Linked DNA regions of Cricetulus griseus. The protein of the gene in region 2 purifies or fractionates together with the protein of the main gene of each other region. This does not show direct contact. Links are inferred from orthologs where the notes say so. Each region holds a gene or a part of one and is shown on either strand. Other genes may lie near its edges.

What was found.
Region 1: the proteins of Src (region 2) and Pdgfrb purify together in Homo sapiens (affinity purification with western blotting; 4 studies listed by BioGRID and IntAct, with this or other methods). This does not show direct contact. The link is inferred for Cricetulus griseus from reciprocal best matches to the Homo sapiens genes SRC and PDGFRB.
Region 3: the proteins of Src (region 2) and Pxn purify together in Homo sapiens (co-immunoprecipitation; 4 studies listed by BioGRID and IntAct, with this or other methods). This does not show direct contact. The link is inferred for Cricetulus griseus from reciprocal best matches to the Homo sapiens genes SRC and PXN.
Region 4: the proteins of Src (region 2) and Pecam1 purify together in Homo sapiens (affinity purification with western blotting; 3 studies listed by BioGRID and IntAct, with this or other methods). This does not show direct contact. The link is inferred for Cricetulus griseus from reciprocal best matches to the Homo sapiens genes SRC and PECAM1.
Region 5: the proteins of Src (region 2) and Rack1 purify together in Homo sapiens (affinity purification with western blotting; 4 studies listed by BioGRID, with this or other methods). This does not show direct contact. The link is inferred for Cricetulus griseus from reciprocal best matches to the Homo sapiens genes SRC and RACK1.
Region 6: the proteins of Src (region 2) and heat shock protein HSP 90-beta purify together in Homo sapiens (affinity purification with mass spectrometry; 3 studies listed by BioGRID and IntAct, with this or other methods). This does not show direct contact. The link is inferred for Cricetulus griseus from reciprocal best matches to the Homo sapiens genes SRC and HSP90AB1.
Region 7: the proteins of Src (region 2) and Ikbkb purify together in Homo sapiens (affinity purification with western blotting; 3 studies listed by BioGRID and IntAct, with this or other methods). This does not show direct contact. The link is inferred for Cricetulus griseus from reciprocal best matches to the Homo sapiens genes SRC and IKBKB.

What each region holds. Positions count from the first base shown.
Region 1 is NC_048595.1:178,033,331-178,036,830, reverse strand, and holds part of Pdgfrb (platelet-derived growth factor receptor beta), read left to right. Parts: intron 1-505; coding exon 506-629; intron 630-1,133; coding exon 1,134-1,345; intron 1,346-3,500. UniProt on the Homo sapiens protein: Tyrosine-protein kinase that acts as a cell-surface receptor for homodimeric PDGFB and PDGFD and for heterodimers formed by PDGFA and PDGFB, and plays an essential role in the regulation of embryonic development, cell proliferation, survival, differentiation, chemotaxis and migration.
Region 2 is NC_048599.1:22,117,671-22,121,909, reverse strand, and holds the start of Src (proto-oncogene tyrosine-protein kinase Src), read left to right. Parts: upstream 1-1,439; 5' UTR 1,440-1,673; intron 1,674-2,430; exon of another isoform or gene 2,431-2,560; intron 2,561-4,239. UniProt on the Homo sapiens protein: Non-receptor protein tyrosine kinase which is activated following engagement of many different classes of cellular receptors including immune response receptors, integrins and other adhesion receptors, receptor protein tyrosine kinases, G protein-coupled receptors as well as cytokine receptors.
Region 3 is NC_048597.1:95,638,564-95,642,576, reverse strand, and holds the start of Pxn (paxillin), read right to left. Parts: upstream 2,801-4,013; 5' UTR 2,786-2,800; coding exon 2,746-2,785; intron 2,642-2,745; coding exon 2,415-2,641; intron 2,164-2,414; coding exon 2,054-2,163; intron 1,719-2,053; coding exon 1,582-1,718; intron 1,494-1,581; coding exon 1,292-1,493; intron 313-1,291; coding exon 177-312; intron 1-176. UniProt on the Homo sapiens protein: Cytoskeletal protein involved in actin-membrane attachment at sites of cell adhesion to the extracellular matrix (focal adhesion). Recruits other proteins such as TRIM15 to focal adhesion.
Region 4 is NC_048600.1:119,634,657-119,638,156, forward strand, and holds part of Pecam1 (platelet endothelial cell adhesion molecule), read right to left. Parts: intron 2,282-3,500; coding exon 1,979-2,281; intron 479-1,978; coding exon 203-478; intron 1-202. UniProt on the Homo sapiens protein: Cell adhesion molecule which is required for leukocyte transendothelial migration (TEM) under most inflammatory conditions.
Region 5 is NC_048600.1:63,461,552-63,464,419, forward strand, and holds the end of Rack1 (receptor of activated protein C kinase 1), read left to right. Parts: intron 1-126; coding exon 127-237; intron 238-672; coding exon 673-813; intron 814-1,689; coding exon 1,690-1,800; intron 1,801-2,256; coding exon 2,257-2,322; 3' UTR 2,323-2,368; downstream 2,369-2,868. UniProt on the Homo sapiens protein: Scaffolding protein involved in the recruitment, assembly and/or regulation of a variety of signaling molecules. Interacts with a wide variety of proteins and plays a role in many cellular processes.
Region 6 is NW_023276807.1:31,888,691-31,892,897, forward strand, and holds the start of heat shock protein HSP 90-beta, read right to left. Parts: upstream 2,801-4,207; 5' UTR 2,662-2,800; intron 1,427-2,661; coding exon 1,280-1,426; intron 1,164-1,279; coding exon 957-1,163; intron 732-956; coding exon 572-731; intron 167-571; coding exon 33-166; intron 1-32. UniProt on the Homo sapiens protein: Molecular chaperone that promotes the maturation, structural maintenance and proper regulation of specific target proteins involved for instance in cell cycle control and signal transduction. Undergoes a functional cycle linked to its ATPase activity.
Region 7 is NW_023276807.1:61,028,470-61,031,969, reverse strand, and holds part of Ikbkb (inhibitor of nuclear factor kappa-B kinase subunit beta), read right to left. Parts: intron 3,101-3,500; coding exon 3,051-3,100; intron 2,920-3,050; coding exon 2,820-2,919; intron 2,642-2,819; coding exon 2,494-2,641; intron 1-2,493.

The DNA.
Region 1 (3,500 bases), on a different chromosome or scaffold from region 2:
CAGCTTTGGCTTCCATTGTGACTGAAATGAAGAGCCATGACAGGGACTTGAGCATAGAAATGACATGATAAAGACTTAATGCTTTGTCAATTAGCTTTCTAAAAATAAGTCTGTTTTGAAAGACAAAATTTAGCATCTCGTTGTAGATGGAAACTCAGTGTCATATGCCATAAATATAAAACAACCACTAAAATAAATTCAGAGAAAACAAAACAACGCTGTCAAAGTCTAGCCTTATGAACCTGGCTGCCCAGGACCCTGGGCTCCAGGCCTCTTCTCTCTTTGTTAAGGGAAAAGACAGTCTCAGAGTGATGTTAAAGACAGGCTCTGAGCCCTGCCCTTCGAAGTACTGAGAGGAACCTGTCATTTTTCACACTGTGACTCCTGGTGTCTGATGCTCCCCTGTAGTCCCTTGCCTAGGGGTTGGGGAGTGGGGGGACTCTGGAACATGTTCCCCTGAGGTCTTTTCCTACCACCCCACTTCCTTGCCCTGTACTCTGTTCAGTCCCTGTCCGTGTGCTGGAGCTGAGTGAGAGCCACCCTGCCAATGGGGAGCAGACAATCCGCTGTCGTGGTCGGGGCATGCCTCAGCCAAATGTCACGTGGTCTACTTGCCGAGACCTCAAAAGGTGAGCACACCTGAGCTCCAGCCTCCCAGAGTACCCACAGCTGCCTAGAATGACCCAGTGTAGGCTAACCTAGATCAACCTCTCCCCGCTGAGAGGCCCAGGCCACATCTTAGATCAGTCCTCTGCCTTCCTGAAGATACCATGCATAACCTAAATTGCTCCTTTTCTTACCCTGACCCTGAGCCATCCTCAACCCAGGAAGGTGCAGGGTTTGGCCCCCAGAGGGGTCTAATTCATCCAGTAGTTGTTCTATATCTCTGACCAGAGTTGAGTGTAGTAGATAGAGTTCAGGGTTTGCCTGACACACTGAGGGTCAAATGAGTGAATTTTGCCATTGAGGAGTCTCAGTTCTGGAGTAGGAGCTCCCCCTGCTGGTCCTTCTAGACAACACAGTAGGAACCTACTTAAGGACCAAGCAGTCATAGAAATTAAGACTTAGTTTCCCCAAATGCAGAGGGAGAACTAAGCGAGACTGTACGCCAATCTCCTTGTGTCTCCTGGCAGGTGTCCACGAAAGCTGTCACCCACACCCTTGGGGAACAGTTCCAAGGAGGAGAACCAGCTAGAGACTAATGTGACTTTCTGGGAAGAAGAACAGGAATATGAGGTGGTGAGCACACTGCGCCTGCGTCATGTGGATCAGCCATTGTCAGTACGCTGTATGCTGCAGAACTCAATGGGCAGAGATTCGCAGGAGGTCACCGTGGTACCACATTGTGAGTGCCCCAGCCTTGGGTGGCTCTGATGACCTCTCACTCCTTCCTTGATCCTGCTTTACCGTGCCTGCATGCCCAAAATGGATCAAGTGAGCATGCTCACAAGCCTATAGTAACATTACAAAACCCACCAGAGTATGTCCTTATGCACATACACAATATATGATGTGGACACCAGTGCACAAACATGAAAAGCATTGACTCAAGTGTGGAAAATGAACTGTTATGCATGATGCATGCTGTAAACTCTGAACATGAGTAGGCTGATCTTGGGACTCGGGTGTACACTCTTCATGTGCACATGCAATCTGTGCTGAGGATGCCTAATCCCCTGAGTACACTCGTGTTAGCATGTGCTCAAGCATGCACAACGCTGTCCATGTATATAAAACTGCAGGATATATTTTTGTGAGCTGTGTGTATAAGCCTGCCCAAACCCAAGACTTGCATGTAAATCTACAAAATGAATGTCTGTATGCATGTACAGGTGGGGAGCACAAACCCCCTACATGTGCATAAATCATGCATGCACAGTTCCTGTGCAAATGTGAACATTGGCATGGTTCATATTTGTACTCACACAATTGCAACATATAAAAACAAAAAAGCACTGAGCACAACTCTGTACACATACGCCTCCAGACAATGTACAAACATTAGCAGCTGCACATATATGTACAGTTATTGTGCAACATATGAACAGTGCTTGCCAGAGTCCAGATGTGTGTACATATCTCCCACTTACCCATGCCTTCACATGTATGCATGCTTCATCATCCACCTATTTCCTATTCAGTAAGTTATGGGGACCCAAACTCACTAGGGTACAGAGGCCAGTGGGTCAGTCCAGAGGGAGGAGGCAGACGAGGAGTGAGCCAGCCTACACTGGAACACTACTTCCAGGGAGCAGCCCTGAGACAGAAGGAGCCCTGTGCTAACCTTGGGATTGAGGAAATATCCCAGGAAAAAGAAGTTTTACATCAAATACCGAAAGATGACCAGGTGTTAGCCTGTGAAGGCATGGTGTCGCAGCCAAGGAGGCCTGTGCCAAAGCCTAGAGGTGGAGTGGGTTCTGAGAAGTTCAAGGAAACCAAACTGTCTGGAAGCAAACTATGTGGATTTGGGGCGGGGTGGGGGAGTAATAGGGAAGGAAGTGGTAAGGAGTGGGGCTATAGGATACAGAAGTCAGAGAAATCAGAGCTTCAAAAGACATTTTGTACATACACAGACACACACACACACACACACACACACACACACACACTCATACACACAGGCTGCCCCACACAGCCTTGTACATGTTTGTCTATGTACATACCTGTCACCTGCCCTTAGAAGATGAGTGAGCTTTTTAAATATCCTTACTGGGGCTGGAGAGACGCCTCAGAGCTTAAGTGAGCTTGCTTCTCTTCCAAAGGACCTGCGTTCCATTCCCAGCACCCATGTCAGGGGGCTCACGATCACCTGTAGCTCCAAATCCCATGGATTTAATGCTTTCTTCTGTCTTCCATCAGCATCCACACATGGCATTCAGGAATACAGTTGCACACATAAACACATACATAAAAATAAAATAAATATCTAAAATAAAATGCCCTCATTTCTCCCACACTCTCTTATAGGCACACATATCCCTGAGCAAGTGGGCACAACAAAATGTGCACAGCCTGCCATATAGAGACCCATTCTGGGCCTGAGTAAAGGCAGAATGAAAGTCATTGTGTGACATCTGGTCAGGACACCATGTACTATTACACAGAGACCTGGGATGACTCTGATGGGTCCCTGGAGGGTGCAGGCTCCCTTTGCAAGACCAGGATGTGGGGGCTGTTGTGAAGAGAGGACAAAGATGTCAGTCAGTGACCCTAAGAAGGAAAGAATGTGGAGTAAGCCAGAGGAAGACTCCCTGGGGAACAGAGGAGGGCAGGAAGAGGACATAGGAGGAAGACGAAAGTTCCCAGAAGACAGCAGCTATTGCTAATCGGGGAAGGACAGGGGCTGGGGCTTCATCCAGACTGACTGGGTAGCAGGGAGGCTGGAGCCTTGGGCCAGAGAAGACTCAGGGCTCAGGGAGCCCAGGGAGACCTGCATGTTCACCTCAGTGCCCTGGGCAGTGCCCTCTATGACTGCCCCACCAGACACACCAGCTGGTCCT
Region 2 (4,239 bases):
AAACTCCATAATGAAACCATTGTGCTGGCCATTTCCTCTGAGAGCCCTGGCTGTTACTGTGACCTCAGAGCTAGAGGTAGTTCCAGGTGTGAGGCCGCATAGACAGTTCAAACCTACCTCACCTCTCTCTCCTCTCATGCCAATTCTGAGGATGAGTTGTCCTTACCCATTTTGCAGGTTTTTGGTGTACTGAGCTCAGAAAAATGGCGTGTTCTTGGTCATTTATATATTTGCAAAGAGGTAGAGTTGAGGCCTCAACCCAAGCCCATGGGTCCAAAGTTTGTACTTTGAAGCTTTCCATCGTCTTAGGTTTGGAAACGCCCAATGTCCAGATCTTTCTGTTGAACTTCCAGCAATGGATGTAGTGATACGCTGGCAAATATTTAACAAGCAACTCTCTGGAAGAAAAAGCTAAGGTATGGTTTGTCAAATTTCTCCATTTCCAAGTAGAACATACTTCCTTGGAGGCCGATGCCAGGTGACCAGTCTGACATCACTGAATATGGCCCTGAGAAGGAGGACAGCGGTCCTAAGTGTTTGCAAGCCTCTGAGAACCAGCTCCAGCACCTTACAGGAAGAGTAGCCACCCTTCCCCCAGCCCAGTGTGGCCAGTGAAGGCCATTAGACAAGTCTTTGGCGGGGAAGAGGGCGGAGAAACCTGCTCCTCCAGCCAGGGCCTGCCCAAGGGAGTCCTGGGAAACTGCCGTTAAACTTTAAGCAAGTCTTGCAAACAGGAGTGGCTACTTTGCCTGCTGTTCATGAGGATCCTGAGCAGCCCCGTTCTCTCTTCTGGCTCAGTGGGCTACCCTGGCCACACTTGCACTCAGCAGTGCGGCCTTCAGATCCCAGTCCTGTCCACTCCTACCTACTTCACAACGGGAGGAGGCTGGAACAGGAAACTGATGACTGAACAAACCCTGAGGCACCTGGCCTAGATGTGAACTTAGATCAGCCTGACTCAAAGCTTTGCTCCTTCCTGGCCTGCTGGGACATACATTGTACCCTGAGGCTGGAGCCTCTTATGTTCTGGGAGGATGGGAACCTGCCCTTCAGGAGGGGTCTCCACCAGGAGAAAGCTCAGGCCTGGTGCCACATTAACCTGGTTGGGTCTCAGTTGGCCACCTGTGAGATGGGAGCACTTTCAAGGAAGGAGGATGGAGGCAGATGGTCGGATTCATCTTTCTAGAGGGGAACGGAGGAGTCAGAGGTGGACCCCCTCCCTGGCCCAAGGGGCAGCCCTAGAACCTGGACAGGGACTGGCGTTTGTGAGGGGTGGTCTTTGAGACCAACCTGAAACCACATCCCGCCCCCTTATCCCATTTTCCTTCTCTACTTCCTGTTTGGCTGATCCTGCTGTCCTCAGTGGCTGACTACCTGCATACTTCCCAGCAGATGTACGTGGTCTCTGCATGCGCTGAAAATGAATTTAGGGCTGGCCTGATGCTTGCAGTCCCTGCCCTCCATAGGCAGAAGCTGGAGCCTCCCACAAGTTCAAGGCCAGCCTGTGTCACATAGTGAGCCACTGTTTCGCCTCTTGATACATTTTAATAAAGCTGCCTCTCTCCTCCTCACTCTGCCCCTCTGGTCCCAGTCTCTGGTTAAAGACAATCAGGTCAAAGCTGGTGTGGCCAGTTGCCTCAGTTTCCGTGTCTGGAAGATAGTGCTAGCCATCGGTGCGTAGCTCAGGTAGCTAGGTTGGTCCGGGGCGAGAGGGCGCCCCCGCGGGTGGAGCTGCGGGGAGGGGGCTGGGTGCGGGAGGCGCGGGGCCCGGCTCGCACAGCAGGTCCCCCGGGTCGCCGGCGGGGCCCGGGTCCGCGCTTCCTTCTTTCTCCGGCTCGCATCGGCCGCGGCCCCTCCTCCCGCGCGCTCCCTCCCCCTCGCCGCTGCCGCCGCCGCCGCCGCCTCCTCCCTTTCTCTAGGTCTGTCTCTCCCGGCCCGGAATCCACCCGGCCGCCCCGCCGGAGCGGCCAGGCCGCCGCCCGCCAGCGCTGCGCGCCCCGCTGGGGTCCGCCCGGGCGCGTCCGGAGCCCGCGGCCGCGCCGCAGGTGAGCGCCCCCGCCCCGCCAGCCCCGCGCCCCGCTGCGGGCTCCCGCCCTGCCCACTCCCCGCCGCGGCCCGCGACCTGCCCGGCGCGGCCTTTTGTTGGGATGCGCGGGGGAGGCCGGGCGGGGCGCGGGGGGCACCGGCGCGTGGGGACCCTCGGCCGCAGAGTCCCCAGCCCGGCTAGGCCACATCTGAAAACCCGGCCGATCGGCGCCGCCCGCGATCGCGGCTGCGGGGCCCTGCGCCCCCGGCCCGGAGTGGGGGTTGGGGGTGGGGTGGGCGCTGGGGACTGGGCTCCCTGGTGGCCACGCGACCTCCTTGGGTCTCCGGGCCTCGGTTAGGGCCTGGTGCTGTTGGCCTGGCGGAGACTGGGCCACTCTGTCCTCCCCTCACCCCCGCCAGCCCCCAGCCTCGCCCCTCCTCGGGCCCAGCGACCTGCCGGCTCCGAAGTTGGCAAAAGTTTTGGTGTTTCAGTACCACTACTAGGTCCACTTGCCCACCCGGGCAGGTACTGGAGGTGAGTTTGTGTCCCCACTAGAACCACCACTTGTCATGCTGTGTGTCTTGGAGACAACTGCCTTAGCTCTCTGAGCCAAGGCCCTTCTCAGTGATGGGTAGACGGCCAGGACTGCTAGGCTGGTTGAAGAGTGGAGTGGACAGAGGGGACTTTTCCCTGGGTAACCCCTAAACCTCTAAGGTATTCAGAGGGAGAAAAGTGGACAGAGACGTGTGAGGCTTATGAGGCCCTAAACAAGGTCTTCCCTGACTCACAAACTGTGTGAGCAATGGTGATGGGTTCACCTGGGTGGAAGTCAGATTCAGTTTCCAAGGTGGGCATGGGGGCGGGGCGCGTGCGGGGGTGGGGCGGGGCGGGCGGGGATGGGGCTCTTTCCAGACTTTTGAGTCCAAGCATCAAAGTCTCTTGTTTTCCTGGGTGATCTGAGCTGGGGGCTGCTCCTTGGATCCTTCACAGCAGTGACAGGGTCCTCAGGTGATTACTCCCTGTGCTTCTGGCAGCTAAGGAGTTGGCATGCATGGGGTGGGGTGTCAATAAATGAGTTCCACCCTGGAGCCTGCACAAGATGACTGGGGTGCTTGTGGCACAGCTGCCTGCAGGAGAGGGTAACTGTGTCTCGAAGGGTGCCCTAGAGCCTCAATATCCGAGCACCCTCCTGTGGCCCACAGCTGTGTGAATATAGTCAGCTCTGGGTTCCTTTTGCCTCAGTCTTGTCAGAAAGGAATGATCAATCAGATTGTGAAGGCACTCAGTGGTAGAGCACAGGCTTCGCATGCCCAAGGCCCTGGTGCTAGCCTTGGCACTACAGGACGGACAGATAAATCAGGTGGAGCCATGATGATCAGAGCTGTTGAGGTTCACTGAACTCCTCCTGGGGCTAGCTCAGTCTGCAGCTGGAACTGGAACTTAGACTTCAGAGGAGCTGGCTGGCTGCCCTTTAACCTGCAGTGACAGTGAAGGCTGTATAGTTTGGGGTCAGGAACAAGGCATTGTTGGAAAAAGACTCCTCCCATATCACCCCCACCTGGCAGAGCCATAAGGCCCTGCTGGAGATGGGGTGTGTCCCGGTGAGGTGGCCTTTCCACAAGGGGAAGTGACTTATAGTGTGTCACCTCTCAGCTGACTGCTTGTATCCTGGGGTACACACTGAGAATGAGTGTTAGGGGCACGCCCCATCTCATGTTCATCCTTGTTCTTCCAGCCTTAGGGCAACCCTATCTCTCCCACCCAATCCTCTTCTGTTTCCTGTCGTGTCCCTTTCCCCAGCCCCCCACCAGCCTCCAGCTTATAGGCTGCCTCCTGCTTGGGCTTTTACCCCATTCTCATCTGACAGTAGGGGTGGGAATGGAGCATGTCTGGGTCCTCTAAGTCCCAGGATCTAAGGAGGACTGGCTAAATGGTTTTTGTCCCTGTTATCCACCTGGTCCTCGGCTGTCTTTGATCGTACATTGAGCACTTACTATGCACTAGGGCCTGTGAACTTTGTTGAGCAGCTTTGTGGTAGGAGGACGACAGCTTCCTGAAGGAGGAGCTTGAGCTGGAGCAAGCAGTGGCCAGCTAGCCAAGAGTGCAGCTGGACCAGTGTTCTTCCCCTCTGCTCAGAAGGTCATCTGCCTGGGGACTTGCTGGGAAATTGTGAACAGGTCCTTGGCTTCTAGAAACTGGAGTAAGGCGGATAA
Region 3 (4,013 bases), on a different chromosome or scaffold from region 2:
GAGGGAGGAATGTTCCAGCTAAAGGCATCTCTGGTTTCTCTGCCTTCACAAGCTGCTAAGGAGCTCAGTCTTGAATATTACCTAGCCTCTCTCCTCCAGGGCCCCGAGGAGCTGCTAGTCATACTGAGGAAGGGTAATGGATGGGAGCAGGGAAGACAGAGAGAATCAGAGGGCACCTTAAAATCCGACAGTGAAGCCATGAGCTCGTCCAGCTCCCTGGTAGCAGAGGAGGCCGAGATGCGTGTCTGCTGCTGGCTGGAGGTGACTCGCTGTGGGCTGCTCATCTCACCTTGGTTCACAGTGATAGCCGGGCTGTGGGGCAGGCATGGAGTCAGTAAGGAGCCCAAGGGTCAGCCCCAGGCTCCACGGGGGGGGCTCCAGATCAACGACACCTCCAACTCCAGGGAAGGCCACCAGAACCCAGCAGCACCTTAGGGATCCCCATCCCTGGGAAAGAGTGACTAGCTAAGAAACAGTGCTGAGGTGAGGTGACCAGAGAAGGTAGGTGGTTCACAGTACCCCTACAGGAAGACAGGGGCACCACTACAAAGCCTCTCAACACTATACACATGCGAGATTATTACACATCAATAAACACTGACACATGGTGGCTCATCCCTGTAACCCAGCACTTGGGAAGCTGAGGCAGGAGGGCTACTACATAGTGAGTTTCAGAAGAGTCTGGGATATAGAGTGAAACCCTACCTCAAAATAAACAAGACCTGACGCTATTAGGGGCTTCCCTAATAGCTGTGATTGCCACAGCTACGAGCCAGCCCCCACCCCCCCCAACATTATATACTATTATATACTATTTGGTCTCACTCTATTTACTATGTAGGGTCATCTCCATTATTACTGTCTGCTTTACCTATTTTATAGTTTATGTCGTATTTTTGCGCTATGGTCTCATGCAGTTCAGACTGTCTTGGAACTCACTTATATAGCCCAGATTGGTCTTGCACCTGAGATCTCCAAACCTCGACCTCCCAAATGCTGGGATTATAACCATGTGTCACCATGCCCTACTTTGGCTTATTCCAACTTATAGAGCGAGAGTAAGACTGTTGTAGCTGGCACAGCCATGATCTAAACCCTGTGCCACATCAGCAAACCTGTGCTAACCCTGGCTTTGCCGGGTCATGCCATATCCCCAGGACCTGGCAAGTAGCAGACACTGTAGGGAGCAGGTGACTTCAGGGCTGATGGACAGGTACCACACAGCCCGAAGACAGTCGGGGTGAGACTTCAAGAGCTTCCCCAGCCTGGGGAGACCCTAATGGATACTCACACAGGGCTAGGCACAGAACTCTCCAGTTCATCCAAGAGGCTCTCCACGCTGGGCCGCACATCCTCCAGGCCCCGGCCTCCATTTCGCTTTGGCTTCTCTTTCATCAGGGGCCCAGTTTTTCCTCCCAGGGTACTGTTACTCTCTGGGACACCATAAAGGGGGCTCAAGGCTCCAGGTAGTGGGGGGCTTGAGTTGGCTTCATCTTGGAGATAAGGAAACAAAATGGTTGCTCATCCCTGAGTCCTCTAGGAACCCAAAGGCCCATGAGTAGTCCAGAGACCCGCTCACACCTGCAGGGAAGCCTGAAGGGTTGTGCTGCACAGCGTTCAGTTCTAGTAACAGACGGTCAAGCTCCGAGAGGTTGTTGCCCAGGGAGGAGCTCATCATGGTAGGTGAAGGCTCTGCGGACTTGTGTTTGTTGGGGAAGCTTTGAGAAGGAGAGGAAACAAGTAAGACTCTTCTGCCCTGCACTGGATGTGGCAGGCCCCAGATTCTCAAGGCCGGAGGGGTGGAATGTTACCAAGTCTCTTCAGCAAGAAGGCGGAGGGTAGGGAAGGAATGTGGTAAGGCAAGGAGGAAGGAAATTTTGCTTCAGTTTCTCAACTACAGAGATGCTGTCTCTACAGAGAAGGCAGTGACAGGGCAGAGGGGAGCCAGCTGACAAGCACAGGGCCTGGCAGGGGCCTTCAGGCCTTCTATAGTTCCACCAGTGGCCCTAGGGTTTCCCAGAAGCCGGGCTGATGTACAGTGCTGGTTCTGTACCTGTAGACGTGTTCTTCCTCGCCTGCTCGGGAACAGAGAGCGCTGTCCTGAGGGTTAGAGGCACCGGAAGTCTTAGCACTGGAGCTGTACACAGGTGACGGGGATGGAGGCTGCAGAAGAAAGAGTACTTTACTCAGGCCACCCCCAGGCAGCTCCTGCTCATAGCTTGTCTCACCAGGGAATTTCCACAGCTAGTCAGGTGATTAATACTTGGTCACTGGCCCCTCACATGGTGGGTGAGAAGGGCAGTGTATGACTAGGAGCCCAGAATCCCAGTCCATCCCCAATGGCTTTCCATCTCCTCGGCAGATCAGCTCCTTTTACCACTCAGCCCCCAAGGGCTCCGCAGACCCCACCTTACCTGCTGGTGAGTGTATCGGGAACCACTAGGCTGCCACTGGTCTAAGGGGTCAAGGATCGTGCCATTGAGGGCCTCGCTGGATGGGGGTGGTGGAACAGGGGGTGGCACTGCAGTCTCCTGATAGGTATGGTTTCCAGTTGGGTAGGAGTAAGGGGGCTCCTCTGACAAGAACACTGGCCGTTTGGAGATGTGGGAGGTGGTTGATTCCAAGTCTGCCAGCAGGGCGTCTGCAAAGAGAAGACGTCCACTGGTGAGAGTTGGCCCTATTGGGCACTTCCCAGGGGCAGTGTCCTGCCTTCCTGAACTTGAAGAGATCCTGTCTGGCAGACACCTGCTGCTTCGATGGGAGAAGAGACCTGGAGTTTCCACATCGGCTGCCCGTCCTCTCCTCCCTCAGGGGTTAGATGCCTGGCTCTGCATTCCTCCTGACAAGGCTAGGCTGCTGCTGCCTGGTGTAAGCAAGAAATGCCTGCTTAGAACTCTGATTCCTGAGGGCAACTGGGAGAGCTGGGTGGGAGGAGTCCTACGTCATGTCACAGCACAGGGAGGGGCTGGGTAGATAGAGCCAGGTCCTCTCTGGACTTCTAAGAGCCTCAGCCCAAGTCTAAAGACAGGGGGTGGCCTTAGGGAGCACCTGTGCTCCAGGTAGGAGCGGAATTCCATGCTCTAAGCTCCTCCTGAGGCCCCAGGCTGTGGGTAAGGTATGCAGAGAGGTAGGGGGCTGGCATGAAGCCAGCTCGGCAGCAGCCACCCCCTCAACAAGCTGGGAGTAAGACTGCTCTGCCAAAGCCTGGCAAGCAGCCCAGCCCTAGAAACTCCAGGGCCCCATGACTCCGCTTTTAATGGGGGGTGGGTCAGATCTCCAACACAAGCTGCCATTACCCTGGCATGCAGTAGCCGACAAGAGGCTCAGGTTCTCGACAGGAAGGGACAGCTAGAGGGACAGGAGTTGGAGGTACTGACCTTCCTGCCATAGCCTCCCATCTTGGGACCTTCCACAGTGCCACGGCCTGGGTACAGTCCAGCCCCGCTCACCACACCCTCCCTCCTTCCTGCACTGCTCACTGACCTGCTCACTCTCAGCATCTAGTGACCTGCTTCCTGGGCCCTCGTGAGTGGCAATCGAGGGGCAGTGGCTGCACTGCACTGATCACCATCTACTAGGAACCACTAAAGGCATCTACACGCGTGGTCACAAACAAGTGCCCCTTCTGGTGACCTAAAAGGCCAAACTGTTGTCTTTGGAGCTGAGGAAAGTAGGCTTGGAGGCTAGCAGTACCTGCCCTGAGTGATAAAGCAGGAAAGGGCAGGATCACAAGACTCCTCAGACTCCTTAAGTCCCAGACACCAAGCCTGCAGGAGGGACTGCTGTGATTTCAAAGAGACAAGATACCAAATCTAAGGAACTCAACTTCCTACACACCAGGGGCTCGAGCTCTGATCCTTGCTGGCGGCCCTGTCTGTAGCTCCATTCCCATGCAGAGAAAAGGGAAGCAAGGGCCTTTGAGGTCATGCCCTCTCCTAGCAGCCCTGACTACCTGTCACTAGGGTGGGTGCACCTACCCCTGGCTCCTGCTGTATGGCTGGACGAGAAGTTGT
Region 4 (3,500 bases), on a different chromosome or scaffold from region 2:
CCCCAGTGCCCAGCCTAAACACACACATAGTCCACCTTGGATTGCAGTACAGAGTACTACTAGATAGCCCAGGTTAGCCTTGAGCTCATGCTCCTCCTGCCTCAGCCTCCCAAATGCTGGCATTATAGACGTGTGGAACTACGTCCGGTCACAATTGCCCCTTGAGCCCACCATTGCCAGCCGTCTCCCTCAGCATTCCTACCTGTTATGTTGACCATGATGCTGCTGACCTTGGAGATGCGGTTAGATTCCACTTTGCAGGTATAATGGCCACTATTCTCCACCGTGGCCATGACTGAGTAGAGAGCCTCAATGTTCCGTTTGGAGGTGGCCACAATAGTCTTGTCCTTTTGGATTATAATTTCTGGAAATTCCCGGACCAAGTGTGTCACTTGAACTGTGCACTTAATGTATAGCTGGTCTCCTTCTATGATCACTCCAGAAGGGTGGATTAGAAACTTGGGAGTAGAGAAGGACTCTACAAGAAAGTAGAAGATAAGCCAGTTGGACTCAAGTTCAAACCTGGACATTTCCTACTCTAATATTTGTGTGGGAGGAACTGTGTGTATGTGTGTGTGTCAGTGGCAGGAGTGAATTATACGTGTGTGTGAAGGGCAGAAGTGCACCTCAGATATCACTTCTCAGACACTGCTATATCTTTTGTTTTGCTTTACACACACACACACACACACACACACACACACACACACACACACACACACACGAACCACATGCATACTTGCTGACTATGAAGCCCAAAAGAGGGCATCAGATACCTGGAACTGGAGTTACAGATGGTTGTGAGCTGTCATGTGGGTGTGGGGCCTGGGAATCCAACCCAGGTCCTCTGGAAGAGCAGTCAGTGTGCATGACTATTGAGCCATCTTTCCAGCCCCATTTGCCTTGGTTTTTTTTGAGACAGGATCTCTAATTGGGTTGGGGCTGGATAAGAAGGCTTAGGCTGAGTAACCATGCAGTGTGTCAGAACCATGGAGTGTCTCTGGCTCCCGGGGCTGGGATTACAAGTGTGCACCACTATACCCAGCTTTACCTGCGTTTACTGACCAAGCTATCTCCCTAGTCCTTTTTGGCTCTTTTGGCTCCTCCCCTCCCACTACACCCTCCTTGAATGGATTCAGGTTCTCCTAAATGCTAGTCAAATGTTCTACCACTTAGCCATATCTCTAGTTCTCTCTTTCATTTTTTATTTTGAGAGAGGGTCTCACTAAATTGCCCAGACTGGCCTTGAACTTGTTCTGTAGCTGAGGCCAGCCTTGAATCTTCAGTCCTCCTGCTTCTGCCTCCTGAGTGGGTGGGATTACAGGCCTGCACTGGTAAACCCAGCCTCTGATTCCCTTTCTCTAACTTATTTCTTTTTAATTAATTTTATTTATTTATTTGACTTAGGGGAGAAAGAGTCTCACAGTTGAGGGCTAGTCTTGAACTCCTGATCCTCCTGCCTTTGCCTTACACAGGGCTGGGATTATGGTCTATGTACCAGGTTTTAAATTCTGAGAGCAGACACTTGGGGGAGGGTTGGGGTGGGGGGGAGTCTCAGCTTCCCTGATTCTGGGCTCCTTTTTGCTACATGCAACCTGTCAGCACCAAGAGTGTAAGCAGAAGCCGGACAGCGGTGGGGCACACTTTTTTTTTTTTTCTTTTTGAGGGTGGGGGGTTCGAGACAGGGTTTCTCTGTGGCTTTGGAAGATGTTATGGAACTCACTCTGTAGACCAGGCTAGCTTCAAACTCAGAGAGATCTGCCTGCCTCTGCCTCTGAAGTGCCGGGTGGCACACACCTTTAATCCCGGCATTCAGGAGACAGAGGAAGGCAGATCTCTGTGTGCTCTAGGCCAGCCTGGTCTACAGAGTGAGTGTCAGGACAGGCTCCAAAGTTACATGGAGAAACCCTGTCTTGAAAAACAAAAAACAAACAAACAAACAAACACAAAAAGAGTGTAAGGAGAGCAGGATTCTGACCCTGCACCGTAACGTATTCACTCCGGGTGGATTCTGAGGTCTGCATTTGGATCCCGGACATGATCCCAGCTTGACATCGGAACACTAGCACGTGGTCCTGCTCCTCGATGGGGAAATCCATTACCACGAAATTCTGGTTCGAAGTCTTGTCTCTTATTTGCTTCACAAGTTTTGTACCCAGTTCTACTTTTTCAATCTTAAAATATATCGGTGGCAGTTCTTCTTTCACAGAACAATTGACAGTCACAACTCCACCTTCTGTCACCTCCTTTTTGTCCAGTGTCACAGTGGGGCTGGGCACGCCTTTGGAGAATGAGAAAGTACAGTTAGGATCAGTTCCTCATTATGGCCCAGTCTCCCTTATCTGTTACTGTGGCTGATCACTCAGTCCAATGCCCTAGGTAATCACTAGGAATGTGGATGCCTGGCATACTACTGGGTATTTTAAAAATGTAAGATTGGTGTTCCCAATGGTTTACAATCCCCTTCCGAAGGTGGTGCAATTAGATTCCCAACTAGAACAGTTCAAACAGAAAAAATCTGGATGTGATGGCACACACCTTTCATCCCAGCTCTTGGGAAGCAGAGACAAGCAGATCTCTGTGAGTTTGAGGACAGTCTGGTCTATGTAGTGAGTTCCAAGATAGCCAGGCCTACATAGTGAAACCCTGTTAATTGTCTGAGTGAGTATGTGTGTGTGTGAGTGTGTGTGTGTGTGTGTGTGTGTGTGAGTGTGTGTGTGTGTGTGAGTGTGTGTGTGTGTGAGTGTGTGTGTGTGAATGTGTGTGTGTGTGTGTGAGTGTGTGTGTGTGTGTGAGTGTGTGTGTGTGAGTGTGTGTGTGTGTGTGTGTGTGGTGTGTGAGTGTGTGTGTGAGTGTGTGTGTGTGAGTGTGTGTGTGTGTGTGTGTGTGTGTGTGTGTGTGTGTGTGTGTGTGTGTAGATGCATGTGCAGGCCACAGGCCAATGAGGGGCATCTCAGTCAGTTGCTCTCCATCCACCTTATTTTTTGAGCTGGCTCTCTCACTGAACTTGGATCTCAATGATTCAACTAGGCTATTTGCTCCACCCACCTACCCCCAGGGATCCTGTCTACCCGCCCAGGGATCCTCCTGTCTGTGCCCCCAGGGATCCCTCTGTTTGCACCCCTCAGAGATCCCTCTGTCTACCCTCCCCAGGGATCCCTCTGTTTGCACCCCTCAGGGATCCCTCTGTTTGCACCTCCCAGGGATCCCTCTGTCTGCCCCCCTCAGGGATCCCTCTGTCTGCCCCCCTCAGGGATCCCTCTGTCTACCCCCACAAGGATCCTCCTGTCTACACCCCACCCAACTCTAGGATTACAGGCACACGCCATGCCTGGCTTTTTACATGAGTACTCAGGATTGCACTCAGGTCTTCTGTTTGAGTGGAAAGCAATTTACAGACCAAGCCTTCTTCTGGTAGTAGTAATACATCTACTGTTATAATGTATTAAATGCCTATTACAAGCCCGGTTCTTCACCTAGGATGTGGAAACTAGGCCAAA
Region 5 (2,868 bases), on a different chromosome or scaffold from region 2:
GCCTGTGTCAGCCACTCAAATATTGGGATTACATGCGCTTGCATAAAAACCTGTTATGAGTTACCTTTAAGGAAGATGCTATTCTTTCTTGTGGCCATAATCCTGGTCACTCACCTTTTTCCCTAGGTATGGAACTTGGCTAACTGCAAGCTGAAGACCAACCACATTGGCCACACTGGCTATCTGAACACAGTGACAGTCTCTCCAGATGGATCCCTCTGTGCTTCTGGAGGCAAGGTATTTAGGGGACCTCTGATCTTTATTTATGGAGAACACTTTCATCTGATAGCATGTACCAGTTAAAAGATGAGCTTAAAATGTGGGAATGTTTCTAAGGATTATCATAAAATATATAGAAAGGCATACCAAAGAAATTTTCCTTTAAAACTAAGTTGGTAGCTGAATAGATGGCTCTGGGATTAAGAGCACTGACTGTTCTCCCAGAGGTCCTGAGTTCAATTCCTAACAACTACATGGTGGCTCAAGACCATCTAATAAGATCTAGTGTCCTCTTCTGGATTAGGGCTACACACAGGCAAAACACACTGTATACATAAATAAAAGTAAGTTGATATACGTATTATACATTACAGGGAAGGTCTTAGGACCATGAACGCTGACACTTCAACCATTAGCTTTATCTATCCTAACTCACCATTTATGTCCGTCCAGGATGGCCAGGCTATGCTGTGGGATCTCAATGAAGGCAAGCACCTTTACACACTAGATGGTGGGGACATCATCAATGCCTTGTGCTTCAGCCCCAACCGCTACTGGCTCTGTGCTGCCACAGGCCCCAGTATCAAGATTTGGGTAAGTGATCTGTTGTGCACCACATTGATTTCAAGCTTTATTGGTAGATTCATCATTCAGCTGCTGTCAGTTGACAAGTTGGGATTATTTTTTCTTAACACTTAGCAGCACTGGGCAACATTTGACTAATAAAAGGGAATGCCCATATTTGGCAATTTGTTGAGTCATTTGGGCCAAAGTAATTCTCCTTTGAGAGGCTATTTTGTCAGCATATGTGGTATCTACTCACTAGATGACCATTAACAGTTACAGCCACACACCATGAAAGATAAGCAAAAATAATCCCAGTAGTGTGTAGCAGGTAGTAGAGCACTTAGCTAATGCATGAGAGGCATAAATCAAATCCCTACCACATGTGCCACTAGTATCAACTAAAAGACTGGGGATTCTATGTGGTATTTTTATGTTTTGGACAGTGTGTAACCCAGGCTGACCTTACATTTATGAGGAGTCATCTTGACTAAGTTACATGGTCAGATCTAGAACTTGGCAGTCTGCCTCAGCCTTCCAAGTAGCTCCAATTGTATAACTAAACCACTGGCCCTCTAAATGATTGTGGGTTGCTAGGGTGGGGGTTGATATTTCATATGTCCTTGAAAGAAAAAATAATCTGGAAATCTGAATTAGAAATAGGCTTTCCAAGTAGTTCATTACTGTCTGTGGTACAGGATAACTGGCCCATAGCCAGGGAATTCTGTCTCCTCCATAGTTTGAGGAATAAACTGTTTTAGGTGTCAAGCAAAGGCCCTTTAATTTGCCATCTTAAGGTCTCCATTTAAAAAAAAAAAAGCTATGGTATGACAACATACTACAGACCATAAAAGTCCATTGCATAATTGTTATGGGCATCCTTACCTGATTTTGGTTTGTTTTCAGGATTTGGAGGGCAAGATCATTGTAGATGAATTGAAGCAGGAAGTTATCAGCACCAGCAGCAAGGCAGAGCCACCCCAGTGTACCTCCCTGGCATGGTCTGCTGATGGCCAGGTAAGTACTTGATTCTGCCAACTCAGCTTCCAGCTTACTCTTCATATCACGGGCATAAGACTAATATATTAGCAGGGCAGTGGTGGCGCACACCTTTAATCCCAGCACTCGTGAGGCAGAGGCAGGAGGATCTCTGTGAGTTCAAGGCCAGCCTGGTCTACAGAGCTAGTTCCAGGACAGCCTCCAAAGCCATAGAGAAACCCTGTCTCGAAAAAAAACAAACAAACAAAAAGACTATTATATTAACAAATGAAATGATAAAGGGTGACTAGTTACAGAAAATACTATAATCTATCTGGGGAATGATTCATGATTTGGACCTCTAGAAGAGGCTTCAAAAGTATAGCAAGCTGTTTCTTCTGGGAATGTGTGCTGAGCATGTCTTAGACAAGTTCTTTGTTTGGGGGCCATACAATTCATTGTTGGGCATGACCCTGTTGCCATTCTCTTTTACAGACTCTGTTTGCCGGTTACACAGACAACCTGGTTCGAGTGTGGCAAGTGACTATTGGCACCCGCTAAAAGTTTATGACAGAGTCTTAGAAATAAAGTGGCTTTCTGAAATCTTTTCAGTTATGGTTTGTCTAGTGAGCAAGTTCCTAACTTGCCCGCCTACCCACCCTTCTCCCATTTGTTGTGTTTTGCTTGCATACATGTCTATGCCAGGGAATATTAGGGTGATGGGAAACTTTGGGACATTCAACATGGCACTGTCTGTCCTAAACTCAGGCCCACCTATGTTTGCCTTCCTCAATGGTGTATCTATCCTTCTTGGTTGCACTTCATTCTAGCAATAGCAGCAGAATAGTTTTTTCCAAGGCAGGGTTTCTCTGCCCAGTTTGAATTTAGCCCCATCTACTTGGATCTACGTATAACATTTAGTCCTTACTAAGTAAGCTACATGAATAAGGACCTCCCATTCCTCACTGAAACAGGAAACCCTAGGAATGCATAAAGAACCAGAAATTCAGGGTTGATTGTATGCTCCTGACAGCTAAGAAGCAGTTCCAGGGCTTCTATGGGAAAGTACTTCATGAAGCAAAATTGCTGCTTCAAAAGAAAGACTCC
Region 6 (4,207 bases), on a different chromosome or scaffold from region 2:
GACTGCTCAAATACTGCCAAGTCCATACTCACATAGAGGGTGATGGGATAGCCTATGAACTGCGAGTGTTTCTTCACCACTTCCTTGACCCTCCTCTCCTCTAAGTACTCTGTCTGGTCTTCTTTGAGATGAAGGATGACTTTGGTACCCCGGCCAATGGGCTCACCTATAAAAAAGTGAATGATAGAATCAAGACATAGAAAACTACAACTAAGCTGGGCGGTGGGGTGGTGCACGCCTTTAATCCTGGCAGGAGGATCTCTGAGTTCAAGACCAGCCTGGTCTACAAGAGCTAGTTCCAGGACAGCCTCCAAAGCCACAGGAAAAACCCTGTCTCAAAAAACCACAATGAAGAAAAAAAAAACAAACAAAAAAACTACAACCAAAATACTCAACCCCCTGCTCCCCATTTTGACACAGGGCTTCTATGTAGCCCAGGCTGTCCTAAAACAAGAGATCCATCTGCCTCTGCCTCCAAAGTGCTGAGATTAAACAGTGCATGATCAAGACTTTGGACTTTCTATCCTCCAGAGAATTCTACCAAGCATCCAAACGAGGACAGGCAGCTTACCATGGTCTGCACGCACTGTGAAGGATCCACCAGCAGAGGACTCCCAAGCATACTGCTCGTCATCATTGTGCTTTGTGATCACAACCACTTTCTCTGCCACGAGATAGGCAGAGTAGAATCCAACACCAAACTGCCCAATCATGGATATGTCTGCACCAGCCTGCCAAAGGATTTTAAAAGTTAAGAGGTAAGTAAAATGGTTCTGCACAAGTGCTTGCTGAACTCAAGTGTAACTATCAAGTAGTTCAATCCCTGGGACCTACTGGCCAGTAATCCTCTGATCTCCATAGGTTAAAAGCCTACCATATCACTAGTGAAAACAAGTACTGAAAAATTAACAAGTCAAAAGCAGTATTGAGAATGTTGTGGATATAGGGCCACACACCTGGAGAGCCTCCATGAAAGCCTTTGTGCCAGACTTAGCAATGGTTCCCAAGTTATTTATGAGATCAGCTTTGGTCATGCCAATGCCCGTGTCCACCAAAGTCAGCGTGCGCTCCTGAGGGTTGGGGATGATGTCAATCTTCAGCTCTTTGCCGCTGTCCAATTTGGAAGGGTCTGTCAGGCTCTCATAGCGAATCTTGTCCAAGGCCTGTAAATAAACACACAGCCACATTATTCCATTTCTGCAAACATTGTCTTGGCTCTCAACCCACGGCAGACTCCTCTCAATCCCTCACTGGGCTTCTATGAAGCTGTGATACTCACATCAGAAGCATTGGAGATCAATTCTCGAAGGAAAATCTCCTTGTTTGAGTAGAAAGTATTTATGATCAAGGACATGAGCTGGGCGATTTCTGCCTGGAAGGCAAAGGTCTCCACCTCTTCCTCGCCATGGTGCACCTCCTCAGGCATCTAAGAAAGCATTACACATTAATTACTAAAACGATGGATGCACTTTAAACTCCAATTCAAAATGCTTTAAGCTGAGTAGTATCCATTCCCAAGGGATGAGAACCGCCATTTTTAAAAAGACCTTGAAAAGCTACAGTAAGCTGGTAAACCGAAAACGGAAAAAACTCAAAGGATGGATGGTTCTTCAAACAAACGCAGCCAAAACGGTATACTACAGCTCAAACAGGCTCAACCCGACAACATACCTTGTTAAAATTCAAGAAATGATAATTCGTTAGCTACCCGGTGAACATATACAGGAAACCCTTTACAACTTTATTTGGGCAAAAAAGAAACTAACAGAAACAGCAGCCATTTCTATGTGCCGCTCCATCCTAGCAGGAGCAGGGAACCCGAGGCTGCAGTCATGGAGGCACTCAAGGAGCAATTAAACCAGGACAAAGAGGTAAAAGCTCCACCATGACCTCTCTCACTGCGCAGACTTGCATAGCCCTGAACACAAGTAAAATGGTGGCCCGAGCCTTCCAGCGACCCTCGTCACTGCCGGACACGCGTCGGCGGCAGCCATCGGGGAGGGGGCGCCACCGCAACCCTCCCACTGCCCCAGCATCCGGGCACTGGGGCGGGGCACCAGGAGCTTCCAGAACAATCTGAGCTCCAGGGCGGGGAGGAGTAGGGGAGGGGTAGGGGAGGGACCAATGGATCTTCCCGTGCCAGCCCCCTCCGGGTTCCTCCTCCTCCTTCCCCGGAGCGCAGGAAAGATCTGGAAAGGCAAATGGCAGTGCGCTCAAGCGTCCCTGCCACCCCGTGGACGACCCCCACGCCCAAGAACCCCAACCACGTTGGGAAAGGCGTCCAAAGGAGGCGGCCAGGCCAGCCTCACAGGGCCGTGCTGAGTCACGCCGCGGAGCCCGCCACCGCGCGGCCCCTTCGGACCCTGCAGCTGCGCCCGGAAGTGGAGGGCAAACATGGCAGCGTCCCAGGTCGGCGCCTACCACGTGCGGCTGCCTTGCACACAGCTGGGCCGCGCCCCCACCTCACGCGCCGGGGCCCCAACCCGGGGCCCCAAGGAGCCTCGCCGAGCCACCCCGCGGGGCCAGACGCAAGCAGCTCGGGGTACACCAGCCCACAGGCCGCCCGGCTGGGCGGGGACCTTCTAGGACGGATGCGAATGGGGGGGGAGAGCCCGGGGAACGAGCCCCGGGAAGCCGCAGGGCCGGAGGCCGCGGCCTTACCTTGACAGGAAAGCCGAGTAGTAGTACAGGGCCGGGTGGGCTCGGAGCGCGACCGACTCGCACGCGGAGGTTAGTGTGCGCGGGGGTGACTCAAGAGAGCTCCCAGACGCCCCCGACCGCCCTATATAAGGCGAAGCACAGCTCGGCCCCGCCCTTGGATCCCTCCGCCTCAGGGGGCGGGGCCGCCGCCCGCACCTGCCGCCGCCCGCCCACCTTGACGTCATGGTAGCAACTGGGGGCGGGAGGGGGGGCGACCCGGGGCCTGTGCGGCGAGCCGAGGCCTCTCCTGCACGACCAGGACAAGGCCATGGCAAGATGAGGGCCACGGGGTGCGCTTATGCTGCTAGGGATGTGTCCACGCGCGGATATCCCGCCGACTCCCCCAGAAACCTCGAGGCAGGCGCCTCCACCCCCGACTCGCAAGAGCACCGAGATGGCTAACTCGGCTGCCGTTCTCTGAGCCCACCTCCCAGAGTGTTCCCTACATGGAGAGAGCAGGACAGTGGGACATTCGCTGTCCAGCTGGAGGGGGTCCCGATGCCCACCCTCCGGAACGGGGCCGCAGCTGCAGGCGGCGAGCAGCTGCTCGGGCGGGAGGGGCGCGGGCCTGGGCTGCCAGGGACTCTTTGGCGGCGCGCGGCGGAAGGAGCAACGCCGGCGGTACTGCGATTTCTTCCAGCAGTTTCTAGGGCTGTCTCGGCGGTCTCAACCCCTCCCCCCGAGGCTCCACCTCCCCCCGCTGCGGCGGGGGCAGCCGCTCGGCTAGGCGCTACCTACTGCCCGGCTCTTAATGCCGAACTGTGTCCCCCCCCCCAATGCTCCTACTGTGCGCTATGGTTAGACGACCCCGGCCCTGGGAGCCCCACATTGCTGCGGGGGGGGGCGGGGGTGGAACGCGGGATGGCGCCCAGAGAGAGGGATGGCTGACCTGGATCGGTCGCAGGGCACGTGATCTGCGGGGGTGAGTGACTGCGGACACCTTTCTGTGAACAGACCGGGGACCCCACACTGATGGGTGGGACACTCCCCACCCCCCAGCCTCCGAGGTGGCCCACGGACAAGGCGCACGGGGCCGTGCGCCCTCCCTTTGCGAGCACTGCAAGCTGCTTCTCAAGCTGGTTTCCCTTTTTCTAGCACTCTTGCCTCCTGCAGCTCTTTGGACCTAGGGAGAGGGAGATCTCCATCTTATCAGATTAGCGGGAGCTCTAGGCAGCTGCGTGAAGATGCTAGTCACGGGTTGGCCCAGTTCCAGGTGCCAGAACCAAATTGCGCTAGTACCTCCGCCCTGCCTTCCCACTGGGCTGTCTGTCCAGGCCTCGCCTGTCCGTCTAGCCTTGCCATTTTCCAAGGCCGCCTCTGGAAGCGAGTTGGGCTGATGAGCCCACCAGGAGAGAATGGCCACTCCGTGCTCTGTAAATGTTCCTCTCCTTTCTTTGCCGGCTCTGGCCAAGGTCTCCGACGCCACCGCCCACACCTTCCTTCCTAGTGCGTGCATGCAGCCCATCTTCCCCAATGTGCTTTCATTGTTTAGCAGTGGTTGCCTTCC
Region 7 (3,500 bases), on a different chromosome or scaffold from region 2:
GCTCTTGCAGAAAATAAATCTAAAAGAACAGGAAGGATCTGGGCAGTGGTGGCACATGCCTTTAATCCCGGCACTTGGAAGGCACAGGCACGAGGATCTGAGCTCGAGGCCAGCCTGGTCTACAGAGCAAATTCCAGTTGAGCCTCTGGCCTCTCCTTAGTTGGTGTGCACATGTGCTTTACACTTCTTTACTCAGTCTAGTGTTCTCTTTCAAGTCCTCATCTGCAATTCTCACTAGATTATAGTGGATGCCATCCTCAGTTCACCACGTACCCCCACTTTCACACCACTGCTGGACACTCCATGAATGCAGGTGGCAGAGCAGGGCATCATTGTGTTATCTCAGATTTCCCCCTTTCCCTACCTTCTTACAGGAGGCTATATCCTCCAGCTCCCATCCCCAGGCAAATCTGCCAGGGACGCTCCTGATTCTGACTCCTTCAGTTCTCAGGAGTGACAATGCCCTGCTGCTATGAATCTCCCAGGACACCATCTCCTCCCTTGGCCTATAGAGACACTCCAGTCAAAAACCTTTACAAGGAGACTGGAGAGAGGGCTCAGAAGCTGCTCTTCCAAAGGCCCCGGGTTCAACTCCCAGCATCTTCACAGTAGCTCACAACTGTCTGACTCCAATTCCAGGGCTTCTGACACCCTCAAACAAACATACAAAACATACATAAAACACTGAGGAACATGAAATAAACATTTAAAAAAGGCTTTTTATGAAGCACTATTTTGTATCTTGCTTCCAAAATAAGCCACCTCCTCTTCTTTGCCCTTTTGGGTTGTTTTGTTATCTGAGGTGGGGTCGTACTATCTTGTCAAACTAGCCTTGAACTTCCTACTCCACACTCTCAGGTTCTGGGATCACAGGTGTGCACCTCCACGCTAGGTTCTCTCTTTGCTCTTGAAGCTACTAATGACTGAACTTTTCTTTGGCCAGCTTCTCTTTCTCCTTGGTCTCTTTTCAACAACAGGTCCCTGTGTTCTAAGGTGCGCTATTACTCGGCTCTTTCCCTTCTTTTTCTTTGTTTTGTTATACTTTTTTTCCCTGAGTAGTATACCATAGCTGTGTTATGATAGTGTGTACATGTTCACAAGTGTGTGTGTGTGTGTGTGTGTGTGTGAGAGAGAGAGAGAGAGAGAGAGACAGAGACAGAGACAGAGACAGACAGAGAGAGACAGAGACAGAGACAGAGAGAGAACAAGCAAGCTCATATCTTGGAATAATCCAGGAAATGAAATATCTTAAATAAATTGAAGAAACTTAAAAAAAAAAGGAAAGACCCCTCCATGCTCACAGTTTGGTAGACAATTTTGAAAATAGCTACACTACCAAAATCAACTACATATTAAATGCAATCCCCCGTCAAACTTCCAAGAAGAGAAATAGAAAAAAAAAAAAAAAAAAAAAAAAAACCTCAAACTTCATATACAAAGAACTCTAATTAGCAGGAAAAATCCTAAGCAAAATAACCAATGCTGGAGCTACCACCACCTTAATTTCAAGTTATACAGGTGAAGCAGCACAGTAACACTAGCAGAATGGCACAAAAATAGACCCACGGCGGGCTGGAGAGATGGCTCAGAGGTTAAGAGCACTGGCTGCCCTTCCAGAGGTCCTGAGTTCAATTCCCAGCAACCACATGGCCTGCAAGGATACATGCGGGCAGAACACTGCACACATAATAAATAAAATCTTAAAAAAAAAAAAAAAATAGACCCACGGACCAATAGGGCAGACAGAGCACCCAGGCAGAAATCCACCCAGGCACAGAAATCTGATTTGACAAAGACGCCAAAAATAGTCATGGGAGGAAGGCAGTCTCTTCAACAAATGGTGCTGGGAGAGCCAGATATCTGCATGTAAAAAGTAAGACTGGGCCCCTGTATCTGTGTGTGCATGCCTGCATGACTGTATGCATGCATGTTGCTAGGGACTGAACCTGGGGCCTTATGCATGAGGCAAACATGGCTCTGCTGAGCTTCACCCCTAAACTCTAAATGCGTTCTTGTAAGAGTCCTTCAGATGAGAAACACTGATGTCACCTGAAGACACAGATACAGATGACAAGGCTTGAGCCACTAAAGCTGGGAGGGTGGGGGTGTCTCTCTGCTCTCTGTTTTTTTTTTTTTTTTTTTTTTTGAGACAGGGTTTCTCTGTGTAGCCCTGGCTGTCCTTGAACTTAGAGACCCGCCTGCCTCTGCCTCCCCAGTGCTGGGATTAAGGGTGCCAGCTGGATTCTTAGCTCTGAAAGAACAATGTCTGCTGTTTGGAGCCCCTCTACTTGTGGTAATTATAGTAGTCACATGGGTAAGTAACACCTCACATAAACTTTCCCTTCAGGAATCTTCCTGCCCACTCCATGTCACAAATAAGTGCCAGTCGAGCAGCGCTGAGGAGCATGGGTCAGGGAGGGGAGATAGATGGAAGGGACAACACACACAACACCAACATGGGGACCTGAGAGGCTGGAGCAAAGGTCCACTCACACAGGCAATCTTCAGGAGGTTCCAGAGCTCCTTCTGCCGCTTCTCCTGAAGGCGGACCACAGTCTTCTCATCCTCATTCATACGGCTCACCACGTCTTCTACCTGGGGCAGCAACTCCAGTGCCTTCTGCTTACAGACCACGGTTTTACTGTAAAGGACAAATGAGCCACACACCCGTGAGCTCTGGGTGGGCACTATTCTGGATCCTATCAGCAACCACAGATTGTTTCTTCACTGTATAGGCAATTCAGAGCAAGAGCACCCATCTGACCCTCAGTTTTGCTATAATCCCACATCTTGTCCTGGAGCAGGAGCAGAGCACCTACCTGAGCTGTGTATAAATTACGCGCACTTTCTTCTCAAAGCTTTGGATTGCCTGAAGTAGCAGCCGAACCATTTCCTGACTGTCACCGTCTGTCCTCTGGTCTGCAGAGAACAGTGGCATAGCTCTTCCTCCTGGCCTCTGGGGGGTGGGGAGGGTAAGGGGGTAGGGGGAAGGGAGGGGCAGTGTTATCTCAAAGACAAGACAAAATAGGGCCAAGGCCAAAACCACCTACCTCTAGGCCTCTCCCTCAGTCTTCTATAGAGTTCCCTCGCTTGTTCCTCTCTGGAAGAGAGAAAAGGCTAGACTCAAGGCCTACCAATGGCATTTAAAGCACTACTCTAATCCTTGTCAGCAGAATCGATAGTTTTTAGACAACTAGACACAGGTTCTCAGTGGGAAAAACCCACCAGTTTTTGTACTATTTATAAAACCTAAATGCCTCAAACAAGGGCCAACTTAAGGGTTATACCCTTCTCTGCTTGGCTACAAGAGATTCAAGGTACCATCTCTGGATCTGACTAAGAAAATACTTGCCCTCAACAACTTGAATCCAGCCGGGCAGTGGTGGCACACAGAAGACCAACTAGCCCTGGCTGCACACACACAATCCTAGTACTCAGGAAGCTGAAATAGGATTCTGGTGAATTTGAGGCAAGTCTTGGCTATCAAGTACCAGAACATT